Linked DNA regions of Oryzias latipes. The protein of the gene in region 1 interacts with the protein of each later gene in a biochemical or structural test. Links are inferred from orthologs where the notes say so. Each region holds a gene or a part of one and is shown on either strand. Other genes may lie near its edges.

Evidence for each region. The genes of interacting proteins can lie anywhere in the genome.
Region 2: the proteins of frizzled-7 (region 1) and dvl1 form a complex in vitro, tested with the Homo sapiens proteins (2 studies listed by BioGRID and IntAct, with this or other methods). The link is inferred for Oryzias latipes from reciprocal best matches to the Homo sapiens genes FZD7 and DVL1.

Annotation. Positions count from the first base shown.
Region 1 is NC_019879.2:16,921,979-16,930,243, forward strand, and holds frizzled-7, read right to left. Parts: upstream 4,781-8,265; 5' UTR 4,306-4,780; coding exon 2,608-4,305; 3' UTR 1,174-2,607; downstream 1-1,173. UniProt on the Homo sapiens protein: Receptor for Wnt proteins.
Region 2 is NC_019865.2:20,959,842-20,967,569, forward strand, and holds part of dvl1 (segment polarity protein dishevelled homolog DVL-1), read right to left. Parts: intron 6,448-7,728; coding exon 6,378-6,447; intron 1,992-6,377; coding exon 1,870-1,991; intron 1-1,869. UniProt on the Homo sapiens protein: Participates in Wnt signaling by binding to the cytoplasmic C-terminus of frizzled family members and transducing the Wnt signal to down-stream effectors. Plays a role both in canonical and non-canonical Wnt signaling.

The DNA of each region.
Region 1 (8,265 bases):
TAGGCTTGTGTCATGTTTTCTGCATTTTTTAAGCCTAAAAGAAATCTAATAAAGTTTATGAGCCTATTTTTAGGTTTCTTTTTTATATATCTTTTAGTAGCATAAATGTTTCCTTTTACTTAAATTGAAAAATATATGGAAATTTTATTTTTAAGTCAGCATAAAAAACAAAGTTTAAATTATAATTACGAGGTCCTCATAATGATGAAACAAACAAGATAGAGATTCGTTGTAAACCAAAAATGTGTACACAGAGACTAGTGGATGCCTTACAAACTTTATATCACTTTTATTCAAATGTACACTTGCAAAAAGGCTTATCTCAGTAAAAAGAGAAAAGAAGTAAAAAAAAAAAAAGGTACCCTCTCATAAATACAAAGTTTTCAAATGTTTTACTTGCTGATTTGGATTTGTTGTTAAAGTAAAATAAACAGTTAATTATGAAAGAGGAAAGGTCAGTCTAGTGTCATTGGAAATGGCAGATCTTAGCTGTCTCAAGGCATTAGCAGAATTACTTTATCATATTTGGTTAAAAGAAAAAAAACAACCCAATGACTGACTGTGGATTCGCCGACTCACTTCCAATACGTCAATCATTTGAGCCGACTTTAACCTGGGTTTGAGGTATGCAGTACATTCACATGGAAAATATCACAAATTTACTATATACAAACTGCCTTTAGGATAACACAAAGGTAGGTACAAAGCAGAAACTTCTTAACAATAATAATAATAATAAAAATATAGATGGATTGAGGGCACAGCTTTGGAGATTTAAAAGATCTGAAGTTGACCATGAAACTGCACATTGACCTACAATCTTACAGATAGTTCCTATGTTTTATAAAGGGACACAGGACATAGACAGAGAAACTATGTTGTTAAAGAGCAAAATGACCTTATGGTCACATGCCACCATCCAGCTGATTCAGATTCCGCGTATGTTTTCCTAATTTTATTGTTTAGTCAGGGTGGATAGAGCAGCATTGTGACTTGTGCCATCCCCCATAAAAACATGTTCGTAGTGTTAAAGTTAAAACCTATCAAACTGATCACCTTATTGATACCGCGCATATCTTCCAAGGATAATTAACTTTTTTTGTATATATATATAATATATATATATATATATATATATATATATATATATATATATATATATATATATATATATATATATATATATATATGTTCTGATCATGTGATCTGACAAACATTCAATGTCCCGTTTTAGATAAAGTGGACATCACACACGTTGCGTTACCAATCTGTTACACGCTGAGGTGATTTAGTCCCTAGAAAACACTAAACAATGGCTAAAGTTAATCGAATCTGCCTACACTGCATTTTCAAATAGAAAAATCCCTGCAACCTCTGACCTTCTACTGACATTTCTCTAATAGATCAGACAAAGTCTGAACAGAGACCAGCAGTTTCACTGTTCTTTTGAAGGATATTTAAAATAATCCAGACACTAAAATAACATCACAACTTGTTCAGTCTGCTTGTGTAGAAGCACAAAAAATAACTTCAGAACATGAAGGAAGACGGTAAGGAAGTAAAAGTTATACTGAGCAGGTGTGAACTTCTTTAGGTAGAACAAAATAAGATCAGAGCACCAGAGCAGCCATTTGCACTCCCACGGATTAAACGTGGGGCAGGAAAATGCTACTTTGGGTGTCTTTGAGGCTTAACAGAAAGTCTGTCTGATAGGGAATCCCACTGCGGAAGGACCACACACAGAGACCAACAATGGGCTTGGTGTGTCTCAGTTACAGCGCGTACATTAGACATTTGTGTGGCTTCGTTAAAATGCAAGATCCAAGGTAAGTCAGTTCTGTAACAGCCATTCTTTTACACTTAACAATAACGGTGCAAACCAGTATAAGAAAACTTCATTCATCCTTATATTGACCATTAGTAACTTTAGTGAATACCCTTCAGTCTCAGACATTAAAATCGTTTGGTTTTTTTTTTTAAAGGAAAATATAGAAGAAAAATATTTCTGTGAAAAACTTGGCACATAAAACAGACTTGGAAGAACTTCTCTCACTTGAAGAGATGCAGCTGTGTGCTGAAAACCTAACACAATACAGCTTTTTCCGTGTTCAGCTAAAAGCACATAATGTCTATTGAATTCACAGTCAAAGGTTGTTGGTGGTTCAACAATCATACCATTAAAAGCATTTGGAGCCGTGCAGGCACGCTTCTGGACAAATGAGTCCATCCTGTTAGTCCACCTTAAAATGGCAACAAAAAATGGACTATGATATTTCTATTGTGACATGAGGATACCATTGATAATATGCAAATAGTAACTTCACCAGTCTGGGATTTCAGTCCAGGGACTAGCACAGACTTTAACACCAGTTTTTGTCTGAAAATCGATGGGAAAGCAATGGTTTTGATGTAACTGATGAGCAACAGAAACAAGCGAAATAAAGGTTCGTCCGACGTTTTGAGGCAACAGATAAGAGTTTTGCTGTTGCCAAATACTGAGGGGGGGGTCCAAAGGGAGAAACATGTTGACTTAAAAGCTTTTCGACCTCATTTCTTATGGTGTTTTGTCCAAAACTGTAATGTGACGCAATTTATTTCCTCCAATTTTCACACTGTTGTTTCCCCATGGTTGCCATTGCCAAGTCTCTTGTAGAACCTCCGCCATGACTGAAGAGTCTTCCCTGACCACACCCAAAAGCCAGAGGTAATTCCAACTATCATGGTCATCAGGTATTTAATCATGAACACAGTGAAGTCCGGCGTCATGGGAGCAAAGTTGTGAACCGGACATGGAACAGCAAAGCGCTTACAGGTTTGCATGTGCCAGGTGCGCTCCCAATGCTCCCTGAAGGCCTGCTCGTAGAAGTAACACGCAATCACTATGGTGGCTGGTACTGTGTAGAGCACACTGAAGACACCGATCCGCACCATGAGCTTTTCCAGCTTCTCCGTTTTGGTTCCGTCGTGCTTCATTATGGTGCGGATTCGGAAGAGGGACACAAAGCCAGCGAGGAGGAAGGACGTGCCGATGAACAGGTAGACAAAAAGTGGAGCCAGCACAAACCCACGGAGGGCGTCCACGTTGAAGATCCCGACAAAGCACACCCCTGTCAGGACATCGCCATCCACCTGGCCCATGGCGAGTATGGTGATGGTTTTGATGGCTGGTACCGCCCATGCAGCCAAGTGAAAGTACTGGGAGTTTGCTTCGATTGCCTCGTGACCCCATTTCATCCCAGCAGAAAGGAACCATGTGAGGGATAAAATTACCCACCAGATGGAACTGGCCATTCCAAAAAAATACAGCACCATAAAGAGGATCGTGCAACCCTCTTTTTTCGTCCCTTGAGCTACAGTCCTGAAGCCTTCCCCCTTGAACTTATCCACGCAGACAACTTTGTCCTCCAGGAAAAACCCAGCAGCGTATGCAACAGCCACCATGAAATAACAACCGGATAGGAAGATGATGGGTCGCTCAGGGTACCTGAACCGCCTCATGTCTACTAAATATGTGAGCACAGTAAATAAAGTGCTCACACAACAAAGGATGGACCAGATGCCAACCCAAAGTCGGCCAAATTTAACCTCGTCCTCTCGGAAATACATGATCCCACTTGGCTTAGTGGGCTCACAGGGGGCCCCGCAGTCCTTGACCCCCATAAATCTGTAGCCGAGGTAGGAAGGCACTTCCAGCTGCAAGGGACAGGAGAACTGGTGGTAGGAATTGTGTGGAGGTTGAGGTGGATTCGGAAACCTGTTGGGTGGAACCGTTACAAGCTCAGGCACATGTGGGGATGAGGAGGAGGGTGAGCCGGGTTCGGATGTGTTCTGGCCAACGCAGATCTCGCTGCCTCCGTTCACCGGGAAAGCCTCGCAGTGCAGTCGCTCCGGCCACTGGAAGCCGAATTTGTTCATTAGGGCTTCGCACCCCTGCCGTGCCCGCTCACACAGCGACCGACACGGGGGGATGGCCTGCTCTAGCACGGTACAGACCGGCGCGTACATGGAGCACAGGAAGAACTTCAGTTCGGTAGAGCACTGGACCTTAACCAGCGGGTAAAACTGGTGCACCTCGAGTCCTGCGTCCTCCTGGTTTGTGTGGCCCAGGAGGTTTGGCATGATGGTCTGGTTGTAGGCGATGTCGGTGCAAAGCGGGATGGAAATGGGCTGGCAAAATCCGTGTTCCGGAACTGATATTCCACTGTCGCTGTAGTGTTGAGCCGAAGCGGCTGGCATACACAGCCCGCACACAAGCCACATGATCCACAGCCACAAGGAGTCAGTGGATAACCTGGCCGCCGCCATAGTTGAGGAGGAGGGGGAGGGAAAGAAAAACTTTGATCCAACTAAGGGCAACTCGAAAAGGCTTAAAAACACCAAAAAGTCCGCAGCGGTTTTAAAACTCAACTTACAGTCCCAACAATTACTGTAAAAGATAGTCCAAATCGAGTTTTTTCCCTGTATTTAAGGTAATAACTCCAGGAAAAGCGTCCGTCGCGTCATGACTTCTTAGTGTTCTTTGTAAGTGACTCCAAGCCGTCCACTCTCACTCCCACTCAATGGAAAACAACACTTCCAAGTCAGTTTTCTTCAGCCGTAAAAAAAAATCCCAGCGTCTCCCAAACATTAAGCTTCTCACTTCGGCGAAATTCGGGAAACACACCACCGAATGGCCTATATCTAGAACATTGGGGCTAAACTTCACGCTGAGCGTCGGTTCACACGCTGGGCGGTTGGAAGTCCAGAAGCTCGCTCTCACTCCTTGCAGATTCCACCGGTTTCAAGGCGCCCATTCCCTTCACTCGCCGCCCCCCCAATAGATGACGGGGCGCCTTAAAACCAGCGTCACGTCTCAGCCAATCCGGGCGTTTGTTTTCCTACGTGACTTGTTCCTGATTGGTTTTAATTTCCCCATTGCAAGGAAATATGCTACACTAATAACTTGACACTAGAGATTTCCATTAAATAAATTTTTTTCTATTGAGATATTTTTATGAACCTTTTCCACCCTTTTTGACTTGGAGCTTTTTACTTTATTGGTATTAGAAACTAAAACCAATGCCTGTACCAAAATATAGTTAACAAACATTATTATTTTATTAGTTTCTTATTAAAGACCCTCTCAAATAAAAATGGTGTTATTTTGTGTTTATTTCATGTTCTTGTAGCATTATTTTCACAATACATAAAGAAAATTAACACTAAAACTACATTTCTGGGTATTTCCTTATTCAAATCGTGGTGAATAAGAAAGAGCCGAAAGTAAATAAAACGGAGGGAAAAAACGTGGTTGTTGCATACAAACTGCAATCGGTTGGCCACAAGCTCCCCTGCTCCACTCCATTCCAATGCATCCACATGCAGAGAAATAGATCCATGTAAAGGCCTGTTCACACCGGGATGAATTTCGCCGGCGATTTTCGCCGACGTTTAACGCCTCGTGACTAAACAAAGGGCACCAATGAGAGTGTGCACGCCGACGCGAAAAAACGCCACGCGACAAAGCGTCAAAAAAAAAAACGCCTCGGGTTCGTTTTTTTTTTTCGACGCGTCGCGTCGAAATCTATTCGACCAATGAGAATGGCGCTTTTGCACACGTGTCTGGAGCTTCTGAAGTTACAGTAAAACACAACTTGGGGGCGCTCAAACACAAAACTGCCTTGCTGAGCACACATACCAGCGAAGAAGATAGACGCCAAGTAGCGTCAACACTGCCGCAAAGAAATAATGACGGACATTCTTAAATATCCCCTTACCAAGTACCAGTTGGAGCTACTGATGCTTGAAATATTCATGTTTTCTTTGTTTGATTCTGACAAGCGCGTAAATACTTGCTATCTTCTTCTGAGTGAAAAGCGACTTTAAGAAGCGTAAAGTTGCGCAGCGCCACCTTGTGTACAGGAGTATTTCTGTTTACATTAAGCGCCATCTAATGTCAGGGAATGAAATTGCATGTTCGCTCGGCTCACCGTCAGCGAAAATCGCCTGGGTGTGAACACAAAAAACGTGGCGAAAAACGCTGGCGAATAACGCCTGGCGAATATTCGTCCCGGTGTGTACGGGCCTTAAGTCTTTGTTTTTCTCTTTTGAGCCGTTATCTGGCTCAAAACTATTTCGCTGGATGGCTCAAATATTGCTTACTTTCTTTGTTGCACTGCTAATGTTAGCGTAGGGTTGTGAGGGGCTGTAAGCTAGTGGGATAGAGTATAAACAAAGAGATAATGGAAATTGAAGACAGGCTTACTCCATGCAAACTATCCCACCTGCAACTCAGAGGCAATTTTTTGGTGAACTGCCAAGGCAGGATGTAGGCATGGGAAAGGGCCCCAAATGCCATGACAAAAAATCTGAAACATTTCTAAGTTTTCTTTTTGATTTCTAATTCAAAAGTGGCTCACTTTAAATTTTTAACAATTGCATCCAAAATTGCAGTTTACTATCTATTTACACACAAATAAAAAAAAAGGTTGCAAGTGGGACACGTGACGGCCTACAGAAACTGATAAAAATCTAAAAAAGTAGAACAATAAACAAAAAGTAGAGTTGATTCCAGCATTTTAAACCAGTAAACAGGGCTGTGTTTTACATGGTCTGGTTTAGGGCATCATTTCAAACAATAAGGCACAGCTCCTTCTCCGTTTCCTCACTGTAGGGCGGTGAAAACAACAGTCAGAACAGCTGTCATTTAAAGTGGCAGCATGATCATCTGAGCAAAGAAAAGCAGGCTTGGAGGGAATGAATGGAGCTGCTGCATGGCAGTATCGCTGCATTTGGTGTGTTTCTACCCTGAGTGGGCTTAAAAGATGGTGGGGGTTGGCTGCGATGGGGGAAGGGACAGGAAGAAGAGAAAAGGTCAAAGAGGGCAGGGGGAGAAGGAAAAGGAGTGGGAGGAGAGGTTTAGCCAAAAGGAGATGTCAGAGGAGTTAAATGAAGTATCCCAGAGAAAAGTGACCAGAGATCAAACTTTCTTTATAGACTTTTTAAAGAAACAAAATGAAATTGCTCACGGAATGCTAACAGTCTGCCGTATTGTTGCTGTATAAAATCTGAAAAAAGTTGCTGAACTATCTGACTTGTTTCTCCAAAGGCAAGGCCTACTTTGTGTCTTTCAGCAACTTAGCAATTCAAAACGACTCAGGCTCTCAAAAACTCTGATCCTAATGCATGCAAGATGGCCTTACTCTACCCCACAAAAATTCACCCTTAGCTCATCCAGGGCGCTACTGCTAATAAAAGTATAGGAGCTGAATACAAATTTCAAGTATTTAAACAAGCATGGAGTCTTCAAAGGGTTTTGGATTTTACCGCTCACAGAAAAAGACCCCCAAAAGGGATGGTAATTGCTGTTACAACAAACTGAACACAGAGGCGCAGTCATTTGAATCACAGATTTAAATCTAACTTTTTAGAAACTCTTTCTTTAAATATTTCTGTTTTAAAAAACTGAAAGAAGAAAAAAAAAATAAAGAAAACTAAATTCTAATTTCATTTAAACTCTGAGTGAAATTTAATCAAATTGTTGTTGGTGACCTTTGCTTCTAATATGGTCATCTTGTATCTGTGTTAATTTGATCACAGCCAGCAATAATTTAATTACCAAAAAAAGCAGATGGTACATAAAGAGACAAAAGCTTTACAAGTAAGTCAACACATTACTTGTTAACTGCAAGAAAAAAGAGGAAATTCGCATAAGGAACAAAAAGAGAGGCTAACTAATAACATATATGTTCACATTATTGAATCTGTGGCTTGGCTTCTCACACTGTCACAACATCCAGGCAAAGTGCTATTTCATGTATGGACACATGTTCAATTGATACATGTAGGAAAAGTATTGACTGCATGCATATCACATTGTCACTAGTGATGGCAGTTGGTTAAAAAAAATTGTCGAAAGACTATCCCAGTTTGACTAGTAACTGATTTATGTAAAAAAAAATGTTGTTATTTTTACCCAACAACAGTAAAATCAGGAAAAAATAAATAAATATAAACAGTTTCTGAGGAAAATAGGGAAAACCCAAAAATACAATTTAAAGGTTATTTGCTATAGCTAATTAAATATTTCTTCTTGGAAAAATATGAACATATTTTACTACTGCTATTCTATGTCTGTAGATTTTGATTGGCTGGACATGTCATCTAGATTGTCAACAGTTGTGTGGTGCATCTTGAGCTGGTTATAAAGAAGTAAATGCAAAAATATTCAAGTTGTACCCTGGGACAATGTGAGCAAATGCATTTGTTTGATAGTTATATTTGAAG
Region 2 (7,728 bases), on another chromosome or scaffold:
CGGGGTTTAGGGACTCAAACTGCCACCGGGCTCGCAGGAAACCTGAAGCCGGTGAGAACTCTGCTCAGTCCTGTCAGTCTGTCAAACTCACTTTCTACCTCCATGAGTAATCGCTCCTGAATTCATGCATATGCGCCTGGATGCACTTAAAAATTAAAAAAAAGACTCCTCGCACGTGCACTCGGATTTATAGCGCTTAAACTGAACAAAAAGAGGTGCAACAGAAACATGTGAATAAACATCAATCAGCTGTGGTTAAACATAGAGGCTGCACAACAGTGTGTGGAGGACGCATGCTAATTAAATCTCTAAAAGCAGACTGGATGCTGGGGCCGCTGTGTTCACTCAGCGGGATAAATTGCTCAATGGGGCATGCTCACATGCTACATACGGGCAGATGGGTGCACCTGAGCACGACTTCTGGAGCACAGGTCACTGCATGTATGCAAATATGTCTGAAGATGCGTGCTTTAGACGCTTTTTTTTTTTATTGTTTGGACAGCAAAGTGGGGACAGTGACGGCTGCTTGTCTGTCAGGCTGCTGATAGCTGCTGGTAAGAAGGGAGATTTATCCAGCAGCTGGGAACAAATTCTGTCTATTTTCTACAGAGGCCCCCTCCCATCCCACTCCACCTTCCCCTCCCCAACTGGTGCCAATCGTCTGCCTTTTCCTCTTGGGAAATAGAGATGCGTACTTTAATCCGGATTACCAGGCAGAGGCACATCAGTTGGGTTCACTCTAAACCCAGAACACCTATTCTTCAAACACGGCCATTCACGGTGTGGAATACATGCAACGCATGAATAGAGCACAAAGAGAAAATGAAGTGGTAATAGTATTCTGGCTATTTACAGAGAGGTAAAGCCGGAGGACGGGCTTCCTTTCAGACAGAAGGAGAGAGGAGGTTTGCTGTAGGGAATACACCACACCGCTTCCCTGAGAGAAAAGCTCGTCTGTCGGACTCAAGGAGAGACGGCGAGGGAGGGTGGGGGTGGAGGGAAATGACGTGGGGTAAGAAGCGCAGTGCGTTTAGCCTGCACGAGGTGGCAGCACTGAGAAATGGAGGGGAACAATAAAATCATCAAGACGGCTGACAGCCACATGGCGGGGAGCGTCCCATAGAGGGCAAAAGAGAGCTGAGATGTCAAACGCTGGATAAAGAGATACACTGAGACATGACAGATTGCACGCTCTCAATATAGAGCTTCAGCAGTACTGCCCCAACATTATGACTGAAACAGCCCCAGCCCACACCCCCCTCCTGGCTATATTTAGCAAGGCGCTTCTCTTTGGTCGAAGCTGTGATATTTTCAAATTTGACAGTTTTACGCCAAAATCGGCGCTGAGGTGGCCCGGATGAAGCTCAGGGGAATCTCCTCTTCTGACCTTTAAAGCACCAATGTGTTTTTTGAGGCACTCTGCTTTTATTAGTTAATTATGCTCCGAGTGACTGAACACGAGTCTCACTCAGTGCCAGTTTTTGCCTGAAGATTTTTGCGCCGCAAAGGCTATATTTGGAGAATCAGCAGTGGAGTACCCATCATGTTTACACAAAGGGGTGGACGAGCACCTCGCTCCAATGCTTGCACGAGTGGAAATGAACCCACAAAGACAGCCGTGCGTATTCTGACACTCCAGTTTGAGCAGACTTTATCTTCACACATCGCCTAATCAGGCACCTACACTTTCCATACAAGCTGCTGCTGCAGCTGATGATGATGAGGAGGATGAGTCTCCCGTGAACTATCCACTTCTTAATTAGCACATATGGCATGCTACATTAAAAAAAGGCACACTGAGTGCAGAGAGCTGTGCCTGACAGCATCTGACAGTACACCTGTAGTACAAATGCGCAGCAAACTACTTACTGAAACGAGGGGGGCCGCGAGTCTCCGATGCCTCCCGTCCTCTCGAGGGGAGGGGGCAGCTCGGGGTGACTCTCCGTGCACTGAGATCCTCCATCGGAGTGCGCGCTCTCTGCCAGGACCAACTGAGGAAGAGGAGAACATGCTGGTGAAGAACAGTTGAGAAACACGGAACAAACAAGTCGGATTTTTGTGTCATTAAAATCTGCAAACAGAGAGTAAGAAAACACACAGAGGAAAACACACGGGGGATATTTGTGTGCTGTGGAAACAGACACTCGCTGTGTGCATGTATAAATGAGGAAAGGCTATAAATTGAGAAGCCTAGCCATGGCTAAACAACTCGGGCAGACGGTAAACAGCACAGAAACTTGAAAGAGTGTCCAGCTTTTTTACCCAGCAATGTCTCCTTTCAAATGATGCAAAAGGAACCCATCCTTTCATCTAAGCCATAAATGAGAATGTTAAAGCAGATACCCGTGCACAGGCCATCAGCGGTGGGCGCCACGATTGGTTTTTATTCAACCTCTGGGTTCATGGGTGTGTTGTTGTGGTACAGTTCTAAAAGGAGGAGCAGTCTGCTTTCATAACTGCTCTTTTATAGGAGGCTGGGTCCTCATTCACATGTCTGCCCCCATTGAGGGCAGATATTCCAGTTTTGGAGAAAAATAAAGATTGAGAATTGTAACAACTATTTCTTGTTCATGAAAATATTATCAAACTGTACTTTTTACAAGGTTAGGTAATGGCGTTGTTGTTTTAAGTTTTATTTTTGATGATTTACACAAAAAAAACCAAGACAATAGCTTTTTTCCGAGGATAGACAAATTATGTGCATTTGATGCCAACTCTCTTAAAAAAACTTTGAAGTGCTTATAAGACATTTGCCTCTGTTTTTATGTAATTTTAGAAGCCTTCTTTGCAGTAAGAATATTTTAACAAATATATCCGTGACCTCTTATTTTTTAACCCATCTTCGTTAGGCCTGCGCAATAAATCGCAAATTTCTCGTCGCGATATCAAGCTGTGCAATACAAACATTGTAAAGGTCAGCGAAAATCGCAATAAATGGTTACTTTAAATGTGTTAAAACAATCTTATGGCAGCTTGAAGTATTTAGTGAATCAAATAAATCCATTTATGCATTTGACCAATTGGATGAAGCCGTTTTATGTTAGATTCTCGCCTCCCATTTAGACTAGTTTCATTTGGAGTTTAACTTAAGGTATGTTGACTCGTATTTATATTAAACTGCAGTGAAATGGAAAGGATGTTTATGGTTGTTTTGCTATTTGTTCATATATCGCAGGTTATATCGCCATGGCAATATTAATCATTAATCGCATCTCGCGAGTTTTCTTCATATCGTGCAGCCCTAACCTTCATCTTTTTACACACTTTCCTTTTGTTTTTCTTTGTAGCTTGATGCCTGATCTCCAGAGTTGTTGTGACAATTACATTTCCCCACGGCAGGATCAATGAAGTTTACTTATCTGATCTCATCCTTTATAAAAGCAGCTCAAACATCTTTTTAGAAGGCTTGTAAAGTTTCCCCCCAAATGCCCCTAAAATCGATAAACTGCAACACAACATTTAATAACACATTTAATTTGTATTAATTCTGTATCAAAACTCAAAAATCATAACATTTCCATTCACAGTTTTAATATTTCCTTTAAAGACATCCAGTTGAAAGTTATTTGTTGGTGTTTTTAAAAAGTTCTTGTGGCATTTTTCTCATGATGGAGAACATATATAAAGAAAATAAAGTTCAAAATTGCATTTAGGAGCAGGTGAAAGATGTTGTTTGAAAAAGCTTGTAGTTGTGACGTAGAAGCTACAGTCGGTGGGCCACAAGCTCCCTGCTCCGCTACATTCTGACTGACATCTTTGTTTTTCTCATCTGAGCTGGCATCTGGCTCAAAACTGCATGCCTGGATAGCTCCAATATTGCTTGCCATTGCTGTTGCACCAGTAATGTTAGGTTGGGGGTCTGAAGGGTTTTAAGGTAGCAATGGATTGTTTAAACATATAGATGATGGGAAGTGGGTCTCTCAAATGTCCCGCCCACAACTCAGAGACGAATTTCTGATGAAGTACTGCTGCTCTGAAGAAACTATGCCCTTGAAAACAACACAGGTTTTTAGATTTTGGCTAAAAACCGCATGATTATAATTATGAAAAAAAAGCACTGATCAAAAGATGATCATAGTGGTTATTTAAACCACAAAGACTTGTGTTTTATTGGTGAGGGAAGTCATTGGTGGACTTAGTGATTCAGCCAGCAGCACAGGTTTATAAGACAGTTATGAGACACGTCATTTTAAAAGAAGCAGAAACCTGCAGGTGAGTTAAAGCTCTTATTTTGAAAGGAATCTAAGAGAAGGGTTTGTACACTTTTTTAGCAATGGTTTTCCATAACTTTTCCAAAACTTTTCCATAACCTTTCACAGAATTTCCAAAACCAAAAACAAACACATTTCCGTCAGACCTAGTCGGTTCCGCTAAATCAGACCTTTCCTGATATTTTTAAGAGCTCATTGGTTCTTGAGAGTTGGGACAAAATACCTTCAGAAAAACTTCATCTGTTCCTTTTACTGTTCAAAAAATTGTTTTGATTTTCATGATATTTATTGTTTTAGACATTTTTAACCCTCAAATTTAATTTGATATAAATGTTTGTAAATACTTAAGGTTTTTCAATGCTGGTTACTAGTGTGACCTGATGGCGTCCATCTCTAAAAAAGTAATTATCTACTATTCACAATTCCTTTAGATCTAACATTGTGAGTATGTCCATCCATTTTAAAATAATGATTTTTATCCATTTAAAAAAGACTTTTATGTGGGACGTGTTTTGACCCGACGTTAAAGAATCAGTGAACTAAAAAAGCAAAGAACTACAAGCTAACATGAAGACTATAAGATGAGCTGCAATTAAAAGCTGAAAAGCCACAATGTGTGCATGTCCTAGACATGATCTGTTTTGTTTATGTGCTCGTCATGATATCGCCTGTTTTGGTCTTCCTACAGACTTTATCCACTAATATTACAGAGCTCATCTTATAGATTTCATGAGCAGATAAAGTTAGTGCCCAGCCTGTTTGGAGTTCTTCGCCTTTGTAGTGCCTAAAAATATTTGAACGAAAATGACGGAAAAAATTTAGAACGTAGATCACCAGTTCTTTTTTCTTTTTTTTTATTGAATGCAATACGCTTCCATAGTAACACCATCATTACCTGTTTTTGTTTTTTTTAATTCTCTGACCAGCCCCGCTTCTCTCATGCTGCTGATGTCGAAGGACTTGGAGAAAAAGCCTGCATTTTGCACATTTCTGGTGCAAAATGTGTTTTAGGAACGGTTGATGCCTCTGCTAGAAAAACCACTCATGGTTAAAGCTAAATTTTTACCGGCATTTCGTAGCATTTCACTGTAGAAAGCTAAACGCGCCATGCGCTGAACTGACGACAACTCAAACTGCTTTATGGCAACACAAACTCTCATCACTGATAGGGTGAAGTTGAACGTCTGCCACAATTAAAAGTTGAATCTCATAAACTATTTTATCTTATGTTTTTTGTATTCAAAATATTGCATTGTTATGACTTTTCCAAAATGTTACTGAAGATTTTGTTTTTCACAAACTTCTCAAGGACTTAGACATTGCATTTTTAATTTCCGAAACGTTTCCAGGTTTTTCATGACCGTCCAAACCCTGGAGAAGCGGAAGCAGTAAATGTGGGCTTTTGCTTGAAGTTTGGTGTAAAAGACAATGAGCTGAAATGTATGGGTTGATGACACTAATATAACAAAGTAAGAACCTGATAAACAAGCCGAGGCTTAGAGCTTTGCCCCCGGTATCAACACTAATTAAGTGTTTCTAAGAAAGACGGCTCTAACAAGTGCACAACTCTAACCCCTGACTAACCCCTGACCTTCGGATTCAGGGAGGAATAATGAGTCTCCCTTCAGAGATCAATAATGTAAAACATCAAGGACTGTTAAAAAAAAAAGCCATCAAGCTGATTGAATACACATCCTATCAAACGAAATTGCATGTCCTTTTTATTAGTTTTAGATCAATATTTCTAGGAAGCTCTAACCTGACTCCTTTGTCCTGGTTGACAAAACAGTGATGAAGACGTAAATCCTGCTCTAACAAAGCTAAACTGTAAAAATAAACCGTCTTTATTCTTCCCAAAGGGAAACTTGCTTTCACAATGTTGTTTACTGTGTGTAATAAAACCACTCAGGAGCTACATGATTCCACAGATAAACTGACTAATTTCAGCTCTACATGATTGACTTTTGTAGCCGTGGTTCAGTGATGGATCAGTCACAGATTTCCACTTCAGTTGAAGAGTGCGAGTTAGCGTTTCCCTCCTGTGGGGGTGTTACATGTGTTTGTGTGCGTGATCTAGGAGTGAGCCACATTTCTGTGGCTGGAGCTGTGGATTCAGGAGAGCAGAGAAGATCAGCACAGCAAGGCTGTAGGATGCGTCTTACTTACCCAGGACACGACTCTGCCATTGAAGCATGGCAGCTTGGCGTTGTCATCGGAAATCTCTTCTTTGACAACCCTGGGAAGCAGGAACAGAGGTAGGGTCAAGACTAACCAACCAGGAGAAGAAGGCAGCACCATGCAATGACATGGAGAGGCCGTTCCCCTAAATGCAGGTGGAGGTGTTTACTTTTTGCACCAGTGAAGAACAATATGGTTTGAACTGCCGACCTGCCAGAAACAACACAAATCTGAGATGAAAACCTGTCCAGGTGTGCAAGCCATAACATGTGGACCTGTTGAGCAACCCACAGAGTGAAGGTTTGATCAGAAAGGACATTTCATTGGACTGCTGTCCTGCTTCCATCACAAGAACATGGCGAGGAACAATAGGGCGTTTTCACACCAATAAACTTGAAAGGTCTGCTTCTTTGAATCAGTTCAAGTGGGAACCTTTAGTTTGATTTATATTCTTTATGCAATTTTTGCAAATGTAATAAAACTTGTAAATGGAAACACATGAGTGATGATCACCAACCCTCTTAGCCAAGTATCAAGAGGGTGAAGAAACACAAATTTAGGAAAAACACAGGAAGGGCATCCAGCATAAAAACCATCTACCCGTGTGAATCATTGAAAGCTGATTCACTAGGTGTGTAACAATCTATCAACTGAGGCACGTTGTTAATTTAATCGACTCATGCCATTATAAGATTGTTCCAAAATGAAATATATGACTAATAATCAATATTGGCGAATACCATTTGGATTGAGGTACAGTAGGTTTATTTTACTATAACGTAAAAACAACCAAGTGTAACCACAGCAGACAACACGTGTGTGATGTCAGCAAAAAAGGATCAAGCCGTCAATGTGAGAAAAAACTTGGAATTGAGCAAAAACACGTGACCGTATAGTTTGGATTGTTTTGATGTGGAAAAACAACAGAGAGGTGAACTTTACAAAACTTAAATGTGAATGGATTTGTCATTAATACTTGTTTGTTTGTTCACATATTTAATTTTCACTTGATTGTCTTACAAAAATCACAAGGAATTTGGAAAACTTCACCTGCAGTACCCAGGTATTTATCTCTAAGCCATACTGGTAGGATTTTTGGCTAAATCTGTCCAGGATCAATTTTAGGTCAGTGAATCGGATCGAAAAACAAAAAATCTGCGAGAAACGTATAATATCTTAGTTTTGAATTCAGGAGTGTGTCTCAGAGAATAAAATGCTGTTGGTTCCCATTAGCAGTAGATCTGACGAGTAGATCTATAAGTCTGTCTGATTACTTTTAGGTGGGTAAATAGAAAAAAGCTGCAGAACGTGACAACAACATGTCAAAGAGAAGGAACGT